Linked DNA regions of Ovis aries. The protein of the gene in region 5 interacts with the protein of the main gene of each other region in a biochemical or structural test. Links are inferred from orthologs where the notes say so. Each region holds a gene or a part of one and is shown on either strand. Other genes may lie near its edges. The genes, in order: NDFIP1, MLANA, NUMB, JUNB, ITCH, NFE2 and MAPK8.

Region 1 (3,500 bases), on a different chromosome or scaffold from region 5:
GTTATGGAGGATGCTGCATTTTTCCTTGAGCTGAGCTTCATTTTTCTGATCTTCAGAACGCCTTAAGCATTCCTCCTACTCATTCTTGACCTATAAAATAGGGAGTAAATGCCTTTGTCTGATGAATTCTGTTTTAAGCACTTCTGTTTTCTAACACATCAAAGTCAACCTCATTTTCCCCCCTTGATGTTATTTTGCATTTAGCTTTCCATATGCCTGACTTGGAAGTGAGCAACCATTTCAGAAATTTTATTTTCTGTATTAAAAAGATATGAAGGAAATGCAGTGCTTTTAGAGGTAACGCATTATGTAACCTGTCAAAGTTTACAGAAGCAAGAGGATGAATGACTTGAATCAGATTATTTAGGGGCATTAATTTAATGTTCAAATAATGTTTAATTACTCAGGTATAACACATACAGTAAAGGGTGCAAGTCATAAGTATGAAGTTTGGTGATATTAAGTTATTTCTTAAATTGTATAGCCGTAGGTGTAATAATAAAACACCTGATATTTTGAGACTGTGCTTTCTTGTTTGCTTTTGGGAGGAAGACAGAGGATGGCCATTTTGGGGAAGTGAGGTAAGAGTTGTGGATTGTGGGCTCAGCTCGTTTATCCTTGAGAAAGCCATTTTAGCAGAAGTAAATCCAGAGTGCACCCTTAGAACTCTTGCTCCTTGGATAACAGGATGTGTCTGACCTGCCTCTTTTCTTCTCTTGGCTTTTACAGTGGCATTCCTCTTTAACTGGATTGGGTTCTTCCTGTCTTTTTGCCTGACCACTTCTGCTGCAGGAAGGTATGGGGCCATCTCAGGATTTGGTCTCTCTCTAATTAAGTGGATCCTGATTGTGAGGGTAAGTTAAGTTGTACACCAGCAGTGATAGTCTCTGGAGAAGAATGAGTGGAATAATTTTGAGTATTTGACTTTGGAATTATCTCAACATTTAAAATGATTTTTTGTTTGTCTTTGTCTGGTTTCAAGAAATTGAACCTAGATCAGTTGTAGTTGGTTCATGCACACAAGTTTTGTAGTCAGTCTACAAAATATTGGTGGCCCTGGGACATCTATCCTTGTTCAGCTGCTTTCTCTGTTTTTAATGTTTATAATGTGGTACTACATGTATTTGTTCTGAAATTAGTTGTTTTTATAATAAGAGTCTATTAACTTTGTGGTCTCTCATCAAAAGCAGACATTGCTCTCATTAATGCAGCTGAAGTTTGAGTCCTTCTTCTCTCTTCCCCTCTATTCTTTTCTCCCTCCTTCCTCCCTCTCAACCTTCCTCTCTTCCAAGATTGGTTTTAAGTAGCATCATTGGTTATGCCAGGATATTTGGAGAGCCAGAACTGTTCAACAAGCCCTACTCCATTAGGGGCCCTTATCTCTAAAGTAAATACGAGAGAGATCTTAAGTGATGTAGGAGTTATCAGTTAGTTAGAGTTGCATGAAGTGATTGAAAGTTGTAAAAGATCTAGTTTCTTTAAGTGTCCTCTGATTTCAGAGAAGTTTACTGCCATTGTTAACTTTATAATATAAAATCAAGTTGTTTATCATAAACACTAAGGGGTGTTGACTGAGCCATGGAGTTTTTCAAAGTTATTTATTCTAAGGCAGTTAACATTTTTAGAATTCCGAGTTCCTTTGAGAATCTGATAAAAATTATGGGCTTTTCTCCTAGACAACTAACATATACTCTTCTAAAACATGGTCTTTAGGTTACAAACTCAAGCCATAAAGAAGTTTTTCATTCCTTCTCTAAATCTTATTAATCAAGAACTAAAACTATTTGAATGCTCAAACTGTGCTAAACTCTAGACTGTGTTAAAGTCTTCAACAGAAAGCAAGATCAAAGTAGTTACCAATCTTTTTATTTTTACTAAATTTTTTAAAAGAATTAATCAGCTTTTATCAATTAGGATGGTCTTTGGAGTAACAGAACATGTAGCTCAAAAATGGCTTAGAAAACATTGGGGAAATTTTATTTCCAGTGAAAATAAGTCCTGACATGAAGGTCAGTTATGTTTCACTGATAGTCAAGGCCAGCCGACAGGTGTTTCAACCTGTTGTACAGCTGGCCATGGCAGTTTCAAGCATCACATCAGAAACACAACAGTGCTCAGCAGAAGAAAGGAAACTCTCTCCTCTCCCTTCCTTTTTAAGAGCTAAGAAGCTTTCCTAGCAGCCCTTAGTTCCCACTGGCCACAATAGTATCATGTGCTATAGAGTCCCTGGCAAAGGAATGGGGTTATCATCATGTACATGGTAAAGCTTCCAGGGTCAAGGCCTGGCTGAAAGGGCAGGAACAAAATCAGGGATCATTACAAAGGAGGCCAAATATAGTTGAGTTTGGCACTGTGTAAGCAAAATAAAAGTTATCATCAAGATATATTTCTGGGGCTTTCCTGGTGGCTTAGTGGTAAAGAATCCGCATGCCAATGCAGAAGACACAGGTTTGATTCCTGATCCAGGAAGATCCCACATGCCACAGAGCAGCTAAGCCCATGTGCCACAGCTAATGAGCCTGTGCTATAGAGCCAGCGGGGTTCAACTACTGAGCCCACAGGCCACCAGCCACTGACGCCTGCGTGCTCTTGAGCTTGAGCCTATGCTGCGCAACGAGAGAAGCCACAACAGTGAGAAGCCCGTGCACTGAACCTGGAGAGCAGCCCTGGCTCTCACAACTAGAGCAAAGCCTGCACGGCAGCAAAGACCAGCAAGGCCAAAAATAAATAAAATTTATTTTAAAAAAAGACGTATTTCTAAAAGAGGAAAAATAGTTTTTAAAAAACAAACAGGTTTGAGCACTTTCAAAACAAGGACTATGTAAAGCTGAAAGCTACCATATTTCAAGGTTGCTTTTCCATGAAAGGAAGTATATTAGCAAATATTGTAATCATTTCAAATCTGTACTATATAAAATACTTTGACTAAAATTTTAGAAATTTTTGTAAGCACTAAATGAGCAACAGCATTTGTGTACAAGTTAAGATCTTGTGTTTTGTAAACTTTTTTTTTTTGTAAACTCTTAAGCTAAAATGTGAAATAATATCTGCAGAGGTTCTCTAAAGTATTTTGCTTTATTTTTCAGTTTTCCACTTACTTCCCTGGATATTTTGATGGTCAGTACTGGCTCTGGTGGGTGTTCCTGGTTCTAGGTAAGTGCTTTTAAAAAAGAAAGGAGAGAAAAGATTATGTTAAATTTTAGAAGTAAAATTACTTTTATTAAACCTTTATCTCACTTACTATACAGTAATATATTAGTGATAATAAGTATAATTTTAAAAATATGTCAAAGGTTAGGCTGTTATCACCATCAGAGTAACATACATAGTCATAGAATGTCTCTTGGTGGTGGTAATTTTTTCCTAACCCATCCATACACACTTCTCACATTTTCCATGTAGCCAGAGGGGCGTACCAATAAGATGACTTTTTAATAGTCCTTAGATTTTTTTTCCCCCTTGTGAGTTATTGCCACATAGGGTTCACAAGCTCAACCCCA
Region 2 (4,296 bases), on a different chromosome or scaffold from region 5:
GCCAAGACAGGTCACAGTATCCCCAGTGAGCTGGGCCTGGTCCCAGAGCCTCTTCTGGGGGAGCAGACAATGCCAGCTGCCTTGCAGTTTCCACCCTGGAACGGTGCCCGGGCACACTCAGGGCCCCCGGATTAGCTCACATCACTGAGGGACTTGAGCGAGACCCAGGAGCTTCCCTTTGCCCGGAGATCCAGGTTAGTACCTTCTTCCTTTCTGGCCTGGGTGCTCATCATCCAGGGGGCCATGTTAGTTGAGTCCAGCTTAGCATGTATCAATCTCTAGGCTCAGAACTGCACCCTTTAGTTAACATGTCCTGTAGGATTCTAGAACAGAAAAATGGCGCAGGTGAAAAACTAAGGGTATCTCAGTAAGATATGGCTGTAGTTACTGGTTCATTATTGTAACTAATTTAAGATGTTAATAACAGGGGAACTGGGTGTGGGATATCTATGTATTATCTTCATATTTTTCTGTAAATCTAAAGCTGTTCTAAAAAATAAAGTATACATTAAAATTAAAAAAAAAGGTTAAGTAAATAAAAGAACTGCATTTTTCTTTCTAGACTAGCACACACCACTAGGCCTTCCTGGGAGTTATTGGGCATAAACATGAGTCTCAGGTTAAAGCTGCTCTCCTCAAATCCCTTGACACCAAAGGCTTGTATCCTTCCTGATTTTCTTATGAAATCTCCTAAATCAGCCTCAGTTCTGGCAGTCCAGACCAAGTCTGATTCTTTCTCTGCTGTGGGGCCTTTGCACTGGTTCTTCTCTATGAAACACTGTCCATCTGTGAATGGCTGACTCCTTCTTGTCACTCAGATCTGTTTGCATTTTTTCTCCTTTTCAGAAAGGAGAGAACAAGGATCTCACCTAATAAAGATCAACCTCACTCATGCTGTTTTATTTCTCCCACATCATTTCCACTGATGATTATCCAGTGCTGATAATGCCCTCACACGAGACAGTCCAATGGGAACTGGAAAGAACCATAAGATCTGCAAGGTGGGGAAGCGGACCTCATGTTGTAGTCGCGTTAGTCAATCAGTCATGTCCAACTCTTTGCAACCCCATGGACTGCAGCCCACCAGGCTCTTCTGTCCATGGAAATTCTCTAGGCAAGAGTACTGGAGTGGGTTGCCATTCCATTCTCCAGGGGATCTTCCCAACCCAGGGATCGAACCCAGGTCCCCTGCATTGCAGGCAAATTCTTTACCATCTGAACTACCAAGGAAGCCATAAAGGGGAACCTTAGTGGTCATTTAATCTAAGTGCTTGGCTGATGAGAACTCTCACATTCCTTAATTCTGGTGGGTGTTTTGTTTAGTTTTTGCCTGTTTACAATGGTTACAGAGAGCTGGTGCTACTGCTGCTGCTGCTAAGTTGCTTCAGTCATTTCCAATTCTGTGTGACCCCATAGATGGCAGCCCACCAGGCTCCCCCGTCCCTGGGATTCTCCAGGCAAGAACACTGGAGTAGCTTGCCATTTCCTTCTCCAATGCATCAGAGTGAAAAGTGAAAGTGAAGAGTGAAAGTGAAGTTGCTCAGTCGTGTCCGACTCTGTGTGACCCCATAGATGGCAGCCCACCAGGCTCCTCCAACCATGGGATTTTCCAGGCAAGAGTACTGCAGTGGGGTGCCATTGCCTTCTCCGACAGAGAGCTGGTGAGCAATAATTCTGTCCCACTGAAATGCTTCTGGGCTGTACACATTTGACTCTCAGAGCAGGCTATGTAGGTTGAATTAGCCCTGGTTTCAATTAAATTCTAGGTAGGTCATATCCACCTTCAAACAGGAAATTTTCTCTGCTCCTTGCCAATGCAAGAAACCCATTCTTCCCAAGGGACAGTCGTCTCTGAGGGTGTCACAAAAGACCTGGGAGCTTAGCTCAGGAAGTTTCAGGGATCCTCTAATTCCTCTTCTTGATCAGGAAGTCGTGCTCCTAGATTACCTTCAGGCCTGAGACCAAAGGCTCACCCACACTTTGAGGTGAAGATGAGGGTGGGTAGAGGGTACCCCATTACAACTGAATTTCAAGTAAACAGCAAATAATTTTTTGCACTAAAAATATTTCATGGGACACCGTTATACTAAAATCTATTCATTGCTTATCTGAAATTCAAATGTAACTGGAAAGCCTATATTTTAACTGGCAATCCTACAGATGAGGGATCAGCATTAAAACTAATGACTCCCCTAAGATGAAACCTGGGATTAAGGAAAAAAGAGGCCACAGTGAGCCGTGACTTTTTGAGGAGAGGAATGAAGTTGGTTTCTTTCACGCTAATTAAGCAATCACAAACGACCCCATCAGAAATCTAAACTCGTGATTAACATGGGACTCGAGACCAGGGGGAAAAAAAATGAAAAAGGTTAAGAGCCAGAGAAGCAATCTTCACAGAAACGGCAGCCAGCAGACGGAGTTGGTCCCAGGAAGGCAGGTAAGAGCAAAGCCTTTTCACCCACTCTTTCAGAACAGAACAGGCTTTGGCAGATTCCAGTGGACTCCTCCAGCCTTTCTGATACCTGGATGTCGGCAGAATTCTCCTCAATATTCACAATTCTCCGACTTTTAAGGGTTCACAAAGTCTCCTCCTAGGTCCTACCTCTAGACTGCCCAGAAGCAAAGCAGAGAACCAGGAAAAGCAGTTGTTCAGGCTGTAACTGGCTCAGGAACAGCTGTGTCTACTCCCTTAAGAACCACTTTTCTTGGCTCAGGTAGGATGAAGTACATTTGCTGTCCCGCCACTGTTTGCCAAGGCTCGAAACTGGAGGTATAGATTTACAGAAACGAACTTAATGCAGAATTCGTTTTGTGTCTGTCATTTTGAACAGAGTTCATCCCCACATTATTCACCTGAGATGATCAGTAAGGTCAACTGTGACTTCTTTACAACTGGGAAGCGCAAATGACACATGCAATGCCCCAAGGAAAGGGTTCATGGGGTGAACTCTCCACTCCCCTTTTCCACTTCTATTCAGCTGTTTTAAATGGGCTCATTAATATAACTCTATGGGGATCAGACCTATGCAATTCACAAGAACAATAAAAGGAATGAAAAACGCACAATAGCAAGGAGAGAAGAGAAATCATTGTTGGTTTTTAATAAGCACACTCTAATAATGACCACTAAAGTTCATGAGCTTTTTACTTGTTTGTATCATAGTTTAAAATTTCATATTTTGGGGACAGTTTCCTTTGTTGGAATTAATGGGCTTGAAGGATGCTGTGCTGAGACACATGCCCATTATATCATCATAGCCTTTTATTTGTCCAAGGATTGATATAAAATAATACCTCTGGAGAGAAATAACTCCTCTTATTAATCTGTCTTGAGCCAGGGAAAGTAAGGAATGAATTAAAATGCTTTTTGTTTATTTCTCTACAAGTTTGTGGTATAGAGTCAAATTAATTCTCAAATCACAACTCAGTTTGAAAGTTTTTTCCTTTTGTTTGTGGTTTCTTCTTTGAACTTAAATTTCAGTTGGTAGAAAGGGGTTAAAAACCTGAGCAATTCCCACTTGACATCTGTGAAAGAAACAAGTACGAGTCCTTGCAGAGAGAGAAAACAGAGGGTTTGGATATCGTTTTCAGTCACCTAGCGAGAATGTCTTTGTGGGTGTTTTTGAGATGGTAAGAACACTCTGGATGCATGAAATGACACCTGTGTGTCCCTGCTGCTAGGTGTCCCGTGGCCTGACCCTACAAGATGCCAAGAGAAGAGGTTCACTTCTTCTATGGTTCCCCCAGGAAAGGGCACAGCCACTCTTATGTCACGACTGAAGAGTAAGTTCAAAATCAGACCCAGCGGGGTTACAGTTTGCCGTTTGCTGACACAGCCTTTGGCTTCCACCAGCACATGTTGGTCCGTAAATCTCTCTAGTGTTTATTTCTCCAGAAATAAACCTGGCAATGAGGTAAGGAGACCCTGAGGTCCTACAAAAGGTCTCAGGTTTCTCTGAGGCCAAAGAGGCAAAGAGGCAGGGAAGGCAAAAACCTGGATCTTGCCATTTTTGTTGCATTCTTGGCTATGAGGCCTTTACTGTGGGTTCCCAGGCTGAAAATCCTGTCTGAGAGCATGATGCCTCTGTCCTCAAGCCTTGCCTGACTGCTCCACTTGGGCTCCCAGAGGTGGTTTGCAGATAGAACAGAGGCAAGTTGCCAAAGGACAGTGAGGTTGAAGGGCAGGTGCGTCCCTCCACCTGCTGACTGAGTCCAAGGTGAAGAGGGTGGTCATAACCTTTGCATCAATGCTTTACCCTAAAGAAAGGTGTTTTGTATTATGAATTATTTAAAAAT
Region 3 (3,500 bases), on a different chromosome or scaffold from region 5:
CTAATTATATGTGTTGAAGCTCTGTCTGCTCAACTGTGAAAAGAGAATAATGGTTTTGTTACCCGCCTGCTCCAGAGGGAGATTGAAAATGAGGTACTTGAAGCATCTGGAGTTTTGGTTTTCATAGGAGTTGAGAGGGGGCAAGACCCTCAGTAATGATCTAGTTTAACTGTTCTTTAGGCCGAGTTTTATCCATCAAAGAACCTAAATCTCTGTGCTTTTGTGCCACCAGCAGTAAGAGTGCCCTATTGAGACACGGCTTCCTCAGATTCTGTTATAGCACTGGCTCAACATGTCTGAGAGCAAAGTAAAATAGGGCCCAATAAAAGCACTGACCGGATCTGACACTTAAGCTTCGGATCTTATGATGAGGATAGAGCTACTGGGGTTGGCTCAGCTGTACAAAGGCCACACAAAGGCCTGTGTGACAGCTCTGAAAGGTAATGAATATGTGTGAGCAATCCCACTGTCTCTGATGAACAACAGATCTTAGATTTATACAGGAGACCTGTTTAGAGTTTCCTCCCTATGGAGCCAACCAGCCACAAGGACAAAGAGAACTTATCCATTTCTTCTGGTACATCTGACAGTGGTGCTATTTAACTGGATGTGTTTCCAAAGCCTTTTAAATTAACTCCCTGCTGGGTCCCAAATGGCAGAAGAAGAAGGGAAACTTGAGACCCTTGATGTCTGAAAGCAGGTACACTTTCATCAGGACAAATCACAAACCATGTAACTTGGACTAGGAATTTCCATCATGGCTCTGTTAACCTATTGCTGAAAATAAATGAACAACTCCCATCTCTCTCTGTGAACCTCCATTTTCTGCCAATGGGAAATGATACAAGCTATGCACAGCCACCAAACAGCCTCAGAAGAGGGGTGGATAGTTTGATGGGATCAGGGACTCCACTGGAGGTGATGTAACGCTTCAGTGCCTGAGCCCCGGGGAGTTGGGGATGCCATGTTACCTGTGTGTTTTATGGGGAAATCAGTCTTCCTCTGCATAGTGGAAGGCAACTCATTGATGCGCAGGGACAGTTGGCGTTTAAAGGGTGACATCTTCTGGCTAAGAGCAGGAAATCCTCGGAAAGAGCCTTGGCGAGCAAGTTGTTCAATTGGTGCATGCCGGCGTGGGATGGCGTGAGGATTGTTCATCTCCAGAGAGGCAGTGGCATCCAGAGTGGGAGAGGTGGGAGAGGATGGGGAGGTGACAATGTTGCCAGGGGCCACTGACGAACCATCAGCTGTCTTATCTGTATCAGCTCAAGAAAACAGGAGAATGAGGACCTTAGGGCAATGTCTTCAAATAATTTGAGCTCACATCACTAAGGAACCCCAAAAACCTCCTGGGTCATTTTACCCATCTACTTCCCTATGTATCTCAAAAGACAGGTTAGAAGCAGGGCTCAGATCTCCTGTTTTTCAGATAAATAAAGGGTTTAATAATCTACTACATGTCACATGGTATATCTACTATTCTCATGTAGTAATTAAAACACTGAACAAAACTAAACAAAACAAAACCCCCCAGTACCTATGAACTCTTAATGTGAGGTCTTTTAACGAATAATAGTGCACTGTTTTCAATGTTTGTTTGCTTTCTGGCCAGTGAGGCGGGGACAGAGGACTTCAGGAGTGGCAGAGTCAGAAGGGTCTAAACAAACTTAAGTTTGACAAGATGTTAAGTCATAAAGCAGGCCTGGACAACAGGCTCTCTTGAAGAAAAGCATACAGAAGTCAAATTTTAAATTGGAGTAAACAAATACAAGACTGTTTCCATGTGAATACCTGCTGTATCACACTCTCATTGTGGTCAGTCTCTACTTCCCCAACTCCCCATAATCCTCTGTAGATGCTAGGACTCAAGCATTTGGGCAGCTGCTATATGTAGCAAAAAGTATTATTTGGTGGTATCAAAGAATATGCTTCCGGTCTGAAAATCACTGAGGCACATTAAATAACAGCCTATACACATTCATTTGTCTAGTTAAAATAGCACTGTGTTTTTTTTGTTCTTTGGTATCCTGGCAGAAATGTCGATAAGAAATGAAAAAATCATAATCATTACTTCAATTTCAAATGAAAACATATATTCTTTTTTGGCTTAAAAATTAAAAGCTGTTTGGGTATTAGATTAATGAATGCATGCTAAGTTGCTTCAGTCGTGTCCAATTCTTTGTGACCCCATGGACTGTAGCCCGCCAAGCTTCTCTGTCCATGGGATTCTCCAGGCAAGAATACTGGAGTGGGTTGCCATGCCCTCCTCCAGGGGATCTTCCTGATCCAGGGATTGAACCCATGTCTCTTAAAGCTCCTGCACTCGGAGGCGGGTTCTTTACCACTAGTGCTACCTGGGAAGCTGATGTTACCTAAAATGGCAGGTTTAGAATTAAAAGAATATAGTAAAAATTGGCAAAATTATATTAATGTATATTTAAACCAAACTTTTTAATTTAAAAATACTCCTTGCTTTGGGTTTCAGCCCAAGTTATACACAAGAATGCAAAGCATTTTCTCCCTAAGCCCTAGCACTCAGTTCTAAAATACACTGGACTCAACTTCAGACAACAGCCTCCTGAGTAACTTGAATGTCTGGACAGGCATTTTTGCTATGCTGCCAAGTGTACCTTAAAAAAACTCACATTCTGCAAAACCACACACTAAAATTAATGGGGCTATGGAAAAAATAGTGAGGGGCCAGCTTCTCAAAAATCTGTGGCCTTTTTTCATGAAAGCACTAAACAGTCATAATCTAATAGAGCATCACTGAGATGTCTCTGCCTGCATTTCCACCTGGCATCACCATCTGCAGGTCCTTTGCAGCTTAAACCTGGGACTTGCACTTCCTTCAAGATGTAGGTCCTTGATAGCATTTGGTTTTCATAGAGATCAGATGCATCACAATTGAAAAAAAAAAGATACAGGTTTTCCCAATTTTGCTTTTAAATGTCTTTGCAACTTCTTCAACTGCACTCTCAGCTTCCCCAGGTAGTTAAAATTAACAGACAGAGTAAATACTTTGAGGCCACTAAACAAGCCACTCTGTTTACATTTTCAGCTTTGTTCTTAAGGTCTTCATATATTGCTAAGAGTTCTCTATGCCCCTGACAGCTTCCAAATATTAACCGGTTGGGAAAAGCTGTTTTAAATAAACACACATTGTAGTAGGACAAATTGTACCTTTCTTGGCATCTTGGATTTGTTTCATAATCTCCTCTCTTTCTGCTTGCTCAGTGGCTGTGGTGACACGGAATGATCCTTCTCTCGTGAAAGTGGTCCGACTGGCGTCGAAAGTAGCAGTCACTCCACATTCCTTCTCCCGCTTCTGCTTACGTTCTAAACAGGCTGCAAAGGCACAGCCTACAGCGTGGCTCAGTCTTTCACCCTGTACATAACAGAAGGTTTAAAAAACGTTTTCAGAGTTATGGTGTCAACAACTACACATTAGCTGGACCACAAACAAGTCTGTTTTTACACAGGCAAAATGTTAGGAACTC
Region 4 (3,560 bases), on a different chromosome or scaffold from region 5:
CAGGCCTGGGGCTTTCCGGGCCTCGGTAGCCGCCAGCCTGGGAAAATCCCGGCCCCCTTCCCGGCGCCGCAGCCCTGCCCGGCAGAGCGGGGGAGGGGATTCCCGGAATCTGCCCGGAGACCGCCGTCGCGTCACTGGGCAGAATCAGCCCATGTTTGGACAGCGCTTCCGCAGCGTCAGCGGGGAAAGCCCCGGCGCGCGCGGCTGGGAGGTGCCGCGCCTGCGCGCTGAGCGTTTTGCCCAAGGCATCCTGTCCCCTGGCCCTGGGGGCGGGGGGGGGGGGAAGGGTGGCTGGACTGTGTACACACCCTGGACCTTCCAATCCGGGAGATCAGGAGACGCCAGAAGGGTTGGACACCCGGCTGAGGGTGCAAGATGCCTGAACAGAACTGGCGAGGTTGACACAGTTACAGGAGCAAGCCACAAACAGCCGTGGGGTGGGGGCTGCCCAGTACTCCCCTCCCTCCCCCCTGGCCGGCTTGAAAAAAAGACAACAGAAATTAATAAAGAACTTTTTTTTTTACTTAAATAGATTCAATAAAAAGTAAGGACAATAAACGAACTCACACATAAACACAGCTTAAAATAACTCCTTTAGAAACCGACTGCGTGTTTCTTCTCCACAGTACGGTGCAGAGGGGGGAGGGCAGGGGGCGGGGGTCCCCTCCCCAGTATCCCCGAGGGCTAGAGTACCGGGCGGCGGGGCCAGCTCCGCCGCAATCGCCCCCTCCTCCCCTCCCTGTTAAATACACAAATATATTATATTCAATATGAATTGAGTTCTGCAGGAAAAAAATAAAAAAAAATAGTGGAAGGGGGGCTTGTAAACGTTGAGGTGGAAGGACTGGGCGCAGAGCGGGCGGGCAGGAGTCCAGTGTGGTTAGTTGCGCCCTCAGGCCCCGGGGCCAGTGCCCACCGCCTGCCCCCTCGCCCCATGGGAGGCGTGCGCCCAGCCGTCCAGGTTGGGGAAATGTCCGTACGGGGGATAAGGGGGCGCTCAGAAGGCGTGTCCCTTGACCCCAAGCAGCAGTTGGCAGCCGTTGCTGACGTGGGTCATGACCTTCTGTTTGAGCTGGGCCACCTGCTCCCGGAGGAGGCCGGCAGTGTTGGACAGCCCCGCGTTCTCGGCCTTGAGCGTCTTCACCTTGTCCTCCAGGCGCGCGATGCGCTCCAGCTTCCGCTTCCGGCACTTGGTGGCCGCCAGCCGGTTTCGCAGCCGCTTGCGCTCTACTTTGATGCGCTCCTGGTCTTCCATGTTGATGGGGGACACCGGCGGCGTGGCATCGCGGCTGCGCGCCTCAGGCACGGTCTGCGGTTCCTCCTTGAAGGCGGAGGCGCCACGGCCCAGGCCCAGCTGCGCCGGGTGGCCGCCGGCGAAGGGCGGCGCGTGTGGGAGGTAGCTGATGGTGGCCGTCGGGTACGAGCTCCCTGTCCCGACGGCGGCCCCGGCTCCTCCGGAGGGCGCAGAGGCCGGAGAATAGCTGCTGAGGTTGGTGTAGACTGGAGGAGGCTCCGGGCCGGCGTAGACGCCCCCGGGCCCGGCTGGGGGGCCCCCGCTGGTGCCCAGGGACACGTTGGGGGGCGTCACGTGGTTCATCTTGTGCAGGTCGTCCAGCGCTTTTACAAAGCCGTCGGCGAAGCCTTCCTGCTCCTCAGTGACGCCGCCCCCTGCGCCCCCCGCACCTCCACCGCTGCCACCCCCGCGGGGGTAAAAGTACTGTCCCGGGGGCGTGGGCGTCGTCGTGATCACGCCGTTGCTGTTGGGGACGATCAGGCGCTCCAGCTCCGATGAGGCGAGCTTGAGTGACGCGCCTGTGTCCGAACCCTGGCTAGAAAAGTAGCTGCCTCCGCCGTTGCCCTCTGGGCCAGGACCCCGCGCACCAGGTGCTTTGAGATTTCGGTAGGGGTCGGCCAGGTTGAGCGCCAGGCTGGGTTTCAGGAGTTTGTAGTCGTGTAGAGAGAGGCCGCCCGGGGTCCGGCCGTATCCCGCTGTTCCGTATGATTCGTCGTGGTAGAAGGGCTGTTCCATTTTAGTGCACATCCGGGCGGCCCGGGCGGTCTGAGGGGGTCCCTACGGGGCCGCCCCGGGCCTCGCTGCAGCTAGCCGCGCGCAGTCCGCGGCTGTGCCTGTATCGGGTGTCTGGACGAACGTTCCTGAGGGCTGGCACTGGTCGGGAGAGGCCGGTCGGAGGCTGTGCGAGGAAGCTGTGCGGCTTCTCGAGCCCCTTTGCCCCTCTCTAGCGCGCTCGTTTTCTTGGTGTCGCTTCTCCCTTGCTCCCTGCTCCCTGCTGGCTCCGGTGCTGGCTTGGCCGTGCTCAAGGTCCCGGCCGCTCCGCCAGAGCCACAAGCCTTTATACCGCGGTTGTCAGCCACGGAAGTGCGCTCTGATTGGCTGTCACCGGAGCCAGGCCCCCGCACCCCCCTTCTGGAGCGTGGGGAAGGGGAGGAGGCGGCTCGCGTCATTGTCAGGAAGCGCGTGTCCTTGTAAACAGCGGCCACGGGCTGGGTGGCTCGGAGCGCCTGCAGGGGGAGGGGCCAGAGGACCCTAGGGTGCGTGAGGAAGGGGTTGCTGGGGCGATCCGAGGCACACCGGGAGAGGTTTCGGGGAGGGTGATGATTTCCCTGGAGTACGCGATAAGGGATACGAGAAATTGGTACTGAGCAAGTGTGTGCGTGTTGGGGGGAGGGGGTGGTCCCGGGATGCACGCGGAAAGGCCTGAGTGATCTGGAGTCTTTCAGAGGTGCTGGAGGGCTGAGAATACACTGAGAGACCCCGCAAAGGAGAGACAGCAAGGTAGATGGGGAAGCGGGGGAGGAGACATCTGACTCAGAAACTGAGTGGGGGTCCTGGGTACAGGATGGTTGAGGGACTGGAATTTTCCCGGGAGGAGCTGAACCCAGGTGAAATAAGGAGGAGAGATCAAAAGTGTACCCGGGAGAGTTTGGAGGGTCCACTATGCAAAAAATGAGTCGGGGTCCTGGAGCCCACCGGAGAGAGACAGAGTCCCCGACAAGCGGGAAGGGGAAGGCATTGAGAGAAACTAGAAACGCATAAAGTGAGTGAGGGTCCTGGGGTACACTGAGGCAAGGAAAATACGTGCGGTAGAAGATTGTCAGAGGTTGGGGGTCACTGGGGTCATCTGCGAAGCCTCAATGAAGGATAGAATTAGAAGGGTCGAGGCACCCTTTCAGAACTGAGATGATATTGAGAGGGTCCCCGGTTGAGACCTGAGAGAAGGAGGGGTCTTTGAGGATCCTGGGGACCTTCCATGATCGGCTCCCCTCTCGTGGGTGCCTGTATACTCCCCACCCCAAAGCCCTCCCCTAGTGACCCTGAGGTTGACCGGCACCGTGTCGGCTCCCAGTGCCTAGACCCAGCCCGACGGCTGGGGCGCGGTCGCCCAACCCCACTCCTTCCTTAGAAACAGGCTGGGGAAAGAGCGCCGCGGCAGGAAGTGTGGCAACAGCCCCGGGGGACGGAGCCCGGCCCTGCCTCCGTCACTCGAATCCTACGGGACTAGGCACCCCGCCCTGTGTCCGGCGGGGTTCAGCGCCTCGGA
Region 5 (3,500 bases):
TACCACTGAGCCACCTGGGAAGCAGTATGTTCTTCAATAATTATTGTCAAACTGTAACATCAGAATAACAAAGCTGGAATATGATGCTCTAATAGTCATATTTTACCTAAGATTTTTGGGTATATTTCTATAAAAATAATCACACTGAATAATGAGATTTAACATAAATCATGTAAATTCAGTAAACCAATTACATGCTTACAGTCTGAATACATTACCAATACTATAATGAAAGCATACAGACTAGAGACTTCCCTGGTGGTCCAGTAGCTAAGACTTCAATGCAGGCGGCCCAGGTTCAATCCCTGGTCCGGGGAACTAGATCCCACATGCTGCAACTAAAAGATCCTGCATGCCCCAAAGGAGATCAAAGATCCTGTGTGCCACGAACTGAGACCCAGCAAAGCCAAAGAAATAAATATTTTTTTAAAAAGAAAACATATAGATTATATTTTGATAATTAAAAGGAAACAAACTTACTTAACCCAGATGAGAGAATTGTAAAATTCTGGATCAATCGATTCTAAATCCTTCAGTCCAACTGGTTTATTCAAGATACGCTTATAGAATGGCAAAGAAAAACCTGTGTCTATGAATTTCCCATGGAACAGAGCCTATGCAAGAAGAAAACAATCCATAATTTTATAATGGTCCCTGTATTTCAGAATGTTAAGATGAGTTCTTCAGTTAAAAGACAAAACAAACTCCCCATCATACAATCTATTATGGAATATTTCTGGGAAAAGGGAAGATATAAGAACCCAATCTTAAGACATGTCTTAGTGATGAGAAAATTTCCAACGAGAAAGTTAAAGGCACAATGCTTTAGTATTGCTGAATTAGCAAAGTAAACACAGTTCTCCACTTGAACTTACCATTGCAATAAACCTGCCAATAAAACGAAAATATTTCAGGTGATCTGGATTGATGTAAGAAGCGGGGTTTATCTGCAAGCAGTAGTTATCCTTCCCTGCATATTCAAACAGGCAATACATTGGGTTCAACACCTCATGTGACAAAAGAAAGAACCATTCTCTGAAACCAAAAGAAAATTTAGGGTGAAAAATCTTGTAAGTAACCATACCAATAAATCAAAGAGAAGTGCTATAAAGCTCTCAGGAATCTATACTCCTCACGTGGTGATATTTCTCTAGTTTCACATTGATTTTTACAGCTTCTGTACAAACCGCCATCTATTTTACAAAGATATTTACACACTGCTTATTTCAAAGAATCTAAGACATCATTGACTTTAAAGACAACATTATTTGATGAACCACTAAAAAAAATTTCCAACTGTAATACACATCTCAGTTTCAGAAATGTTAAAATATGAAAACTTTAGTCTTAGAATCAGTGAAATACTAAACATAGGCAAGTTTAAACTTCACTGTCGACCCATGTGGTTAGAGTAGCTGAAACAAGTCTAACATTATTCCATCCATGTCCAAGCCCCTCAGTGATGCTCATTAAGTGCTACTGCTCTCTTAAATATGAAAAAACTTCCAATATCACAGAGGCAATAAAACACTTAATTCAAGCTACTCATTCATTAGAAAAATACACTGAGAAGCTCTAATTCAAATGCTGTGAAAGTATCAACCAATACTAATGTAAGATTATAGTTACTAACTATGTAACAGGGGTGAGGATCTGGCAGAACAGTCGGTAGAGTGAATCTGGGGCAATTTATCAGTTCATGCCCGAGATTCCTTTTTTTGTTGATTTATGGCCTCTGGTGGTAGTCTTGCTTATACTTAATACTACTAGCTAGGAATGAATGATTACCCTCCTCCTGAATTATCTTTACTTTAAACAAAATTAAATGTTTCTACTCATATTTTTATTTACCTGTGATTACTTCATACATTTTGAAATATGAACTTTGAAACAAAACCTAAGTAAAAACCACTAAAATGCAGCGACCAGTTAGTGACTCCACAAAGACTCAGGGTCTGAAGTAGGATATTAATAAACTATATTTCTACACTTTACAGCAATCCCAGAGAAGCAGTTATGATCACTCTTATTATACAGATGAAGGCAGTTGCCCCAAGTCATACTACTAAGTACAGAAAAAGGATTCAAATGCAATCTTGACTTCAAAATCCTTGGCTTTTTGTAAGGCCACTGATATGCAAATTTTTAACTCTGTATGATATATCATTATGGAATAAGCAAAGCAACTTGCTGCTTGAGTCTGTCTTCCAGGGTTTGATTAGAAGCTTCAACATTAAGAAAAGAGAATTTAAAATTTCAAGTCCTATTTCATATAGCCTTCTATACTCTCAAAACAGTTATATATATATTAAACTCAGTTAGGAACTGAATGACTATTATTTCTATCAACAGTCTGTGTTGCAGAATGTGACCTGAACACTCTAGGGCCTTGTACATTTTACGGAACAGATATGATACAGTCAACTGAACACTGGCTTCTAGTTTGATGATGTGAAACTTGCATCCAGGCTCTACAACTTAGTTATGTGTCTCTGGTGACTCTCTATACCTCATTATTACCTGGAAAATTCTCTCACAGAATTATCCTGATGAATAAATGAGTGATGTGGGTGAAATCAACTAGCGGTACCTTAGAGAGAGAAGTGTTCAATTAATGGCTTTTGAAGTTTTATAACTGCAACATTTAATAAAGGTACAAAAATTTGCTACATTTCATTTTCCTGAAATAGAAAATTGAGAAAATACTTGCAAGCAAAGTGTAATGATACCTTTGGAGGAAAGGAACTAAGTTCTGAGTATTCATATTATCACTACCTTGCTACACCTCCATAATCTAAACCTTCTTCTCCTGGAAAAATCACCCACAAACGTCTTCGCAGATCTTGAGGACTGAAGCTCATTATCTACCGAAAAAAAAAAAAGGTATAAAATTGGTAAAAGTAGAAACACCTTAATCACTTACTTCCGGGTTAGAAATCTCCTTCATTATAAGTAACTTAAATTCCTCAGGATATAGAATGGTGTTTGTAGTTTGGTCAATTCCACACATATTAGAAAATACATTAAAGTTTCATAATATTTTATAAATTACACATATTTATATTTCTCTATACTTTATATATAATTTTCTTTTAAATGATCCTACCACTGCTTGAGTCTGTCTTCCAGGGTTTGATTAGAAGCTTCAACATTAAGAAAAGAGAATTTAAAATTTCAAGTCCTATTTTACATAGCCTTCTATACTCTCAAAACAGATATATATATATATATATATATATATAACAATTTTTATATATAGAAAAATATATTTATAACAAAATAACAATTTTATATATATATACAAATTATATATATATATATATATACATATACATATATATATATATATATATAACAAAATTCCTTCTCTCACTTGCTTAGAGCAGAGTAACTGACCACAATCAGACGTCAGGTCCTTATTTGGTCTGGGCCAGGTTTCAGTTTGTTTTATACCCAAAAGGTACAGATAATAGCCAATTGGCTAACTTGAAAATGAAAAA
Region 6 (4,201 bases), on a different chromosome or scaffold from region 5:
TCACCAGTCCCACCCCCTCCGGCCAGGTCAGTCTGTGGCCTCCATCTTGGTCCCCCGGGGCACCAGGAAGATGGCCCCATCAGCAGCCTGGTGTAGCGCATACTCTTCAGGGGAGTAGCTGTTGCCTGCTTCATCCCGCAAGTGCTGGAAAATGTCACGGTACAGGTCCGTCAGCTGTTGGCGCATGACCTCCAGGGTCCGGTCGGCCTCGCCTCGGGCCCGGAGAAGCCGCTCCCGCTCGCTGCCCAGCCGCTCCAGTTCCCGCTCCAGCTGCACGATGGTCTCCAGCTTTCTCTTGCGACAGTTCTGGGCGGCCACCTTGTTCTTGCCCCGCCTTCGGATGTCCCGGACCAGGGCCAGCTGGCTCTCTGTCAGCGGGTACCGCGCCAGCAGCTCGTTGAAGTCGTCTACTGGCAGGTTGACAATCTTGTCCGTAGGGAAGGGGATCTTCATGGCCAGGGCCCGCCGCTCATCCCGACTCCCCGCCTCCCCCCGTGCAGTGGGCTTGGCCCGCACAGGGCCCGAGGAGGGTTCTAAGGCTAAGGGGGTCTCGGCAGGTGGCAAGGCATAGTTGGGGTGGGTCAAGGAGTTGGGCATTAGTGAGTAGGGGTACTCCACTGGGTACATCTCTACATACTCGCTGCGACGCCGGCCAGCCTCCGTCCCCTCCAACTCAAGAGATTCAGCGTCACTATAGTTGAGGGATAATCCTGAGTCAGATTCTGGGTCTTCTTGGGGCTTGGATGGCCCCGCTGACAACCCAATGTCCAGGAGGGCCAAGGGGTCTGGGAGGGGGTCACTGAGCAGGCCCGAGAGGGTCAGTGGCTTGGAGACTGGTACAGTCATGTTGCTACCATAGGAGTACGGAGGGTCTGGGACATGAGACGTGGGTGCCGGGAGCTCATAAGGTGGTGTAGGAAGGGGAAAGCCAGGCTCCGAGTGGATAGAGCAGGGGCAGTAACTTGGAGGCGGCGGGGGCCCTGGGTATGGGACAGGGGCTGGGGGCTCGAATGATGGCTCACTTGGAGCATTCAGACCCTGCAAGAAAAGACACCAAGAGGTTTGTAGACGGGCTGAGGAAGAGAAGAAACCATCTCTCTCTCAGAACCAATCTAAGTCCCACTGAAAGAACTAGTGAGATAATCACAAGGGAACAGAAAGTTGCTAATAATCATTAAAAGCTTCTGGCAAAGTTGTGACAGAGCAAGTTCATGAAGAAAGCGGCTTAAACAGGAAGGGCACTCGCTGAAGTCAGACTTCAGAAAGGACTAACGCCACAACAGTTGTGGAATCCCCTCCTCTTCAGGAGAAGTTCTTACTGGCTTGAGATGTCTCTTGTCCCTTTATTTCCTTCAGGAAGACAAGGAGTCACTCCACGATGACCCTTGGAACCCTTTTCCTGCTGCCATTATCTAGGGTCAAAGGGTCAAGTTCAGACCCTGGCCATGCCCTGGGTGCCCAGCAGAGGGAGCTGCTGTGTGGGAAGAGAGCTTAGGGCAGATCCTGAGGACCCAGGCTGGCATGGGCACAGTGCCAGGTCTGGGGCAGAGAGTTACTTCGGGGAGCCACCGTGAGCTCTGCCCTTTCCCCTCCAGTCCCTCTGTCCCTGCCCAGGTGCAGAGAGGAGGAGAGAACATGCTGAGGAGAACAGGGCCCCCAACCCACATCGGGGAGCCATCCTGCTCCAGCCCAGCTGGGGACAAAGGCATCATTGTTAGGCCAACAGACACCCCTTTGTCCAGGTAGCAGGAGGAAAGGACCCCGGCATAGCCCGACCCCCCACCCCCACCCCCACCTTCCTGAGGCCCCTGAACTACAGCTCTGCTACCTGAGGGAAAGGGGCCCAGCTGCTGAGGACAGGGGAAGGAAATGAGGGATGAAGACGGGCAGGACTGGAAGAGGGCAGAACAGAGGAAGGTGAAGAAGGGAAGAAGGGAAGGCGGGGCAGGAGGTGAGGTAGAGAGCCGTGAGCAGAGTGGCTGCTCAGAGAGCTTGCACCCCCAATCAGATCCTTCCTTCCCACCACTGCTATCTCTTGCTCATCCGCACCCCTCCCCCTCAACGCTCTGGCCTTCCCTCCAGATCTCTTCGACTCCAGCCCTTCTTTTTACAGTGTCCAGAAAATCTCCCATCTTGAGACCCTGGGCTCTGCTTGCTCCAGTGCCACCCCCTGCCACACACACCCAGGGCCTCGATCCCAGCCAGACTCCCTGTTTCGCTGCTTTTCCCTCCCCCCACCACCTTGTTCCCCACTGCCTGGCTTACCTGCAGCTCAGTGATGGACATGATCTCCTGCCAAGTCAGTTCCATCTCACCTGGCTCCGGAATGGGTAGCTGTGTTACCCTGTTCCTGCTCTGCTGTGGAGGACACGGGGACATCCTACTGGGCCAGGGCCTGGTCCAAGGTCCCGAGAGCCCAGATGGTCCCAGCAACCTATATCAAAGAGAAACAAAGGTTAGGACCTCTCCTGCCACGGGTCAGCAGTTTTATCCTTCTTCATTGAGCAGCTGGGCTTCCCAGGTGGCGCAGTGGTAAGGAATCCACCCGCCAATGCAGGAGACTTGGGTTTGATCCCTGGGTGGGGAAGATCCCCTGGAGGAATAAATGGCAACCCACTCCAGTATTCTTGCCTGGAAAATCCCATGGACAGAGGAGCCTGGCGGGCTACAGTCCATGGGGTCACCAAGAGTCTGACATGACTGAGCGACTGAACACGCACGCATGCACAGAGCAGCTCCCTCCAGCTTCCCCTGAGGGAAGGAGACGCTTCATCCCCCCATCCATGCTGCACTCATCAACAACTCCTTAAGCTAGAAAGCCTCTTTCTGCTGTGTTATCTCTACCTCACCTGCTATGGCTGTAGGCAGTTCCTCTGGGAGCTCTACTTTTCAGATAAGATGCCTTCTCTTTCCCCTACTGCTGAACTCCTCAGGACTGCATCACAGGCCAGGACAGAAGCCACATCATCTAGGGTGGTGGTTCTGTTTTTCCTGTCTCCTGCAGCAGCCTCAGGGATCACTCCTGCTCTCCTCCTCTGCCCTCAGTTTTAGGATCTCAGTCTTTTCCTTCCAAGTTGAGAGTGAGTGCTTGGGGATCCCCAAGGAGCGTGTTGTGGGAAGAGCCAAGCAGACAGCCCCTCCCTTTCTCTAAGATAGGCCCTGGGCCTGCTGGCTGATAGCAGCCCTGCCCTCGCCTCCTATCCTGGTCCTGGGCTCCCCTGCCTGGGCCAGATAAGAGGTTTATCAGCAGCAGGCAGCAGAGGAGGAATGGTCTCTGGAGACACTGGACCTCTGCCCTGTGTCCTGCAGGGTCCTCTTGGCTATACCCTACCCCACAAACCAGGTCATATAATAACCACAGCAAAGACTTGCTTGGCATTTGTTGAGAACTGAGCCTGGGGGTCTATAGGCACTCATTTATGAGATTGATTTTCACAAAGATCCTATAAGGTCCATTCTGAATCTGAGACTCAAGCTGCTAAATAGCAGAGTCAGGTCTGGTGCTTAGAGTTGCTGACTCTCCTGCCGTCCCATCTTCCAGGTGCCTTCCCAGTCCTGCTCCCACGTCTTGCTACGCCGAGACTCTACTGGTAGTCAGCATCAGTCAGCTCCTTCTGTGGAATCTCGGCCTCTTTTCTCTTCTAGGGAATATTTCTTTAGAGACTTGAATACTCACTCCCCTTCAGCCCCTTTGCTTTGGATCTGGGCTGGAGTTGCAGACCTGCGCAGCAGCAAGATGTCGGGCAAGCCGTCGCCTTTCTCTGAGCTTCTGTTTCCTCATTTGTAAAACCAGGGAGTGAGACAAGTTGAATTTGGAGGTCCCTCCCTCTCTGCTTGGACAGTTCAACATTCTCAGCAATCCCTCAGCCCTGCCTTCATCTTCTCCTTTCTGTCACCCTTTCTCCTCACTCCACCTCCCTATTCCCTGACACCCATCTCACCCTCATCTGTTCTCCCTGCCTTTGGCAAGACACTCCAAGCAGATTTGGCAGGGGCCCCCTGCTCTCTTAGGGCCACGCACTGTACCCTATATCTGCTGCAGAAGTAAAGGCAGGCAGACTGGGTGAGTGGGGGAGACTTAGAGAAGGACAGGCAGAGCATAGGGTTGGAGGACCTTAGATCACCACAAGGATGGCCCATCACAGGTATTTAATGTGGAATCCACTCTGACTCACCACAAAATTCACGAGAGCTGCAAACT
Region 7 (2,528 bases), on a different chromosome or scaffold from region 5:
ACTGATTCGCTGTTCTGTTCCTCAGCACAGGTGCAGCAGTGACCAGTGGCTCTCAGCGTCCGTCATCATCGTCGTCTGCCAATGATGTGTCCTCAATGTCAACAGATCCGACCTTGGCCTCGGATACAGACAGCAGTCTAGAAGCGTCGGCTGGGCCTCTGGGCTGCTGTAGATGACTACTTGGGCCTCGGGGGGTGGGAGGGATGGGGAGTTGTTTAGTCATTGATAGAACTACTTTGAAAACAATTCAGTGGTCTTATTTTTGAGTGATTTTTCAAAAATGTAGAATTCATTTTGTAGTAAAGTAGTTTATTTTTTTTAATTTCAAGTGATGTAATTTAAAATTTAAGTTGTGTTTTAAAACAGCAACAGAACTGTGTATTTTTGCTGTAATTAACTGTATAATGTAAACCTAATTATTTTATCATGGTTTAAAATTTTTGCATATTTGCTTTATCTTATGCTGCTGATTTTTTTTTTTTACTGAATTTGTAAGATTTTGTTTATCAAAGCAACTATTATGTGGTGACTTGCCTATATCATGAATTATTTAAGATTTTATAGTTTTTTTTATTAGAATTTATTTCAAATGTTTTGTTCATGATGCTATCCTTTAGGGTTATGTGCTTATCAATGAAATAACCCCAGAGGAGTGAGGGAAAATAACCTGTAGCCAGTTATATTCAGGAATAACTACTGTAAATGATGAACGTGTTTTTTTAAAAAAAAAAAAACCTCCAATATTTGCTACTTGCCAATTCTAATTTAGTTACATACAACTGATAGGTAATCCTATGTGAATTTTGGCAAAAGCCCCATCATCTGAATGGCAGAATAACTCAGAGCATGTCTTTGAAAGTGTTGGGCATCTACCACCATCTTCCTATCCCCGTATCCCACCCACCAACAGTACAGTAAGAGAATATGGTGTTTCCTGCAAATTTGTGGCATGCTCAAAGCTTATGATCACATAAAGTCAAGAGGATACTTCATGAATAATACATTTCAACGCAAATAAACAGATGGTTCACCTGTACTAGCTGTGAGCCTGTTTTTGTATACACTGAGTTAATCTACTCAGGCTGTAGGTCCTAGCAATGATCTAGAGTCTGGTCTTTCTCTTTCCTACAGCCTCGGGCCCTTGGACCTATTCAGTCTCCTGTTAGAGTGTCAGTCAGTTGAGCACCAGTTCTCAGGGTGTTTCTGGCCATTTGATTCTACCTGTGGCGTAATCATATTTATACTAGCTGTTGGGAGGTTCCAAAGCCTACTTAGATTTCTGTAGGTGATGTATAAAATGAGCAATATACCGTTCATCTGAAAATAGTAGCACACAGCCATATATAGGATATCATTTTCTAAGGACTGTTTCTTCATATTGAGCAGAGCAGGCATAAGTGGTAGTTATTTAGTCTGAGTCTTTCATTTTTTTTAATACCTAATTTTCAATAAAACACACGATGTGGATGTTGAATAGTGTAAGAATGGTGCTGCTCCTGACAGTTGTATGTTAATTGTTTACATTTTATATCTGCAAAATTATTTCTCTATAACAGAATTTTTCTTAAGTAAAATGTCATTGAAGTCTCATTATCTCTGAAATATGTTGTCTGTAATGCCCCAGGCACTTTTTATTATTTTTGGAACAAGAGGGATTTCTTGTAATGAACTGGGAAATGCATACTTAAATAAGCAAAAAGTTCTAGGCAGAATGCCCAATGGAATTAATGACCAGCAGGAGTAGGAACTGGTGCGATTCAATGTGTGGCATATGAACGTCCACTTGGCACGGTATTCATGTATTCAGTGCAAAATTCCTTTTGAATAAGGTATTTTAGGTCATTGTTAATGTGCAATATATAGGATCAAAATACATTAACAGCCATTTTATATGTTTTAAAATAGTAAGATTGTTTTTGATTGTTTAAGCCATGATTTCCAGCCTCTTTCGAAGTGGCAGTCTTTTTATTCCTTTTCTACTCATATGACAGGGTGCATTAATTTTATTAGGCAAAATAAAGTTTTGAGACTATGACACCTCTTGAATTGTAGAAACAGGATTGGATTTGCAGTTTCAGGAGAATTTGAGCACGAATGTGCTGAGGTTTTATTAGCTTGACAGTTACCTAGCTTTATTTCTATAGAATAGATTATTTCACTGTTGCACTTTAACAACTGACATGCTCCCAGAAGATTCCCTTCATTTTCTGCTTCCTTGCTGATGAGCCATCTCTTGGCGCAGGTGTTGGTTAAGCAAGGAAAACCAGGTGTTTTAACAGTATCATTTGTTGTAAATGCCAGCTCCACTTGCCACCCAGCATGTTTCAGTTGATTGAGAGAAAACAAAACTCTTAATAGTCATGTAGACTTAAGATACATCCTAAAAACAAAGTCTGTAAGTGTTGTGTGCCCTGGGTTTTTAAAATGCAGTATCTCAATACAACTTTCCCTCTTCTCTAACTGTGTCAAATAAGCTAAAGATGGGCTAGTTCTTTTTAGTTTTAGAAGTTTTTGAAACTTTAAAACAT

Evidence for each region.
Region 1: the proteins of ITCH (region 5) and NDFIP1 form a complex in vitro, tested with the Homo sapiens proteins (2 studies listed by BioGRID). The link is inferred for Ovis aries from reciprocal best matches to the Homo sapiens genes ITCH and NDFIP1.
Region 2: the proteins of ITCH (region 5) and MLANA form a complex in vitro, tested with the Homo sapiens proteins (2 studies listed by BioGRID and IntAct, with this or other methods). The link is inferred for Ovis aries from reciprocal best matches to the Homo sapiens genes ITCH and MLANA.
Region 3: the proteins of ITCH (region 5) and NUMB form a complex in vitro, tested with the Homo sapiens proteins (3 studies listed by BioGRID). The link is inferred for Ovis aries from reciprocal best matches to the Homo sapiens genes ITCH and NUMB.
Region 4: the proteins of ITCH (region 5) and JUNB form a complex in vitro, tested with the Homo sapiens proteins (2 studies listed by BioGRID, with this or other methods). The link is inferred for Ovis aries from reciprocal best matches to the Homo sapiens genes ITCH and JUNB.
Region 6: of the proteins of ITCH (region 5) and NFE2, one has a biochemical effect on the other in vitro, tested with the Homo sapiens proteins (2 studies listed by BioGRID, with this or other methods). The link is inferred for Ovis aries from reciprocal best matches to the Homo sapiens genes ITCH and NFE2.
Region 7: of the proteins of ITCH (region 5) and MAPK8, one has a biochemical effect on the other in vitro, tested with the Homo sapiens proteins (2 studies listed by BioGRID). The link is inferred for Ovis aries from reciprocal best matches to the Homo sapiens genes ITCH and MAPK8.

Annotation. Positions count from the first base shown.
Region 1 is NC_056058.1:50,835,312-50,838,811, forward strand, and holds part of NDFIP1 (NEDD4 family-interacting protein 1), read left to right. Parts: intron 1-729; coding exon 730-854; intron 855-3,086; coding exon 3,087-3,153; intron 3,154-3,500. UniProt on the Homo sapiens protein: Activates HECT domain-containing E3 ubiquitin-protein ligases, including NEDD4 and ITCH, and consequently modulates the stability of their targets. As a result, controls many cellular processes.
Region 2 is NC_056055.1:74,040,133-74,044,428, forward strand, and holds the start of MLANA (melanoma antigen recognized by T-cells 1), read left to right. Parts: upstream 1-1,496; 5' UTR 1,497-1,661; intron 1,662-2,393; exon of another isoform or gene 2,394-2,437; intron 2,438-3,681; 5' UTR 3,682-3,706; coding exon 3,707-3,783; intron 3,784-4,296. UniProt on the Homo sapiens protein: Involved in melanosome biogenesis by ensuring the stability of GPR143. Plays a vital role in the expression, stability, trafficking, and processing of melanocyte protein PMEL, which is critical to the formation of stage II melanosomes.
Region 3 is NC_056060.1:82,826,680-82,830,179, forward strand, and holds part of NUMB (protein numb homolog), read right to left. Parts: intron 3,389-3,500; coding exon 3,184-3,388; intron 1,266-3,183; coding exon 972-1,265; intron 1-971. UniProt on the Homo sapiens protein: Regulates clathrin-mediated receptor endocytosis. Plays a role in the process of neurogenesis.
Region 4 is NC_056058.1:11,037,597-11,041,156, forward strand, and holds JUNB (transcription factor JunB), read right to left. Parts: upstream 2,326-3,560; 5' UTR 2,042-2,325; coding exon 998-2,041; 3' UTR 501-997; downstream 1-500. UniProt on the Homo sapiens protein: Transcription factor involved in regulating gene activity following the primary growth factor response. Binds to the DNA sequence 5'-TGA[GC]TCA-3'.
Region 5 is NC_056066.1:63,862,096-63,865,595, reverse strand, and holds part of ITCH (E3 ubiquitin-protein ligase Itchy homolog), read right to left. Parts: intron 2,865-3,500; coding exon 2,776-2,864; intron 1,036-2,775; coding exon 876-1,035; intron 615-875; coding exon 481-614; intron 1-480. UniProt on the Homo sapiens protein: Acts as an Acts as an E3 ubiquitin-protein ligase which accepts ubiquitin from an E2 ubiquitin-conjugating enzyme in the form of a thioester and then directly transfers the ubiquitin to targeted substrates.
Region 6 is NC_056056.1:132,256,502-132,260,702, reverse strand, and holds the start of NFE2 (transcription factor NF-E2 45 kDa subunit), read right to left. Parts: upstream 2,801-4,201; 5' UTR 2,646-2,800; coding exon 2,632-2,645; intron 2,435-2,631; coding exon 2,266-2,434; intron 1,039-2,265; coding exon 28-1,038; 3' UTR 1-27. UniProt on the Homo sapiens protein: Component of the NF-E2 complex essential for regulating erythroid and megakaryocytic maturation and differentiation. Binds to the hypersensitive site 2 (HS2) of the beta-globin control region (LCR).
Region 7 is NC_056078.1:41,792,933-41,795,460, forward strand, and holds part of MAPK8 (mitogen-activated protein kinase 8), read left to right. Parts: intron 1-25; coding exon of another isoform or gene 26-30; coding exon 31-176; 3' UTR 177-2,528. UniProt on the Homo sapiens protein: Serine/threonine-protein kinase involved in various processes such as cell proliferation, differentiation, migration, transformation and programmed cell death.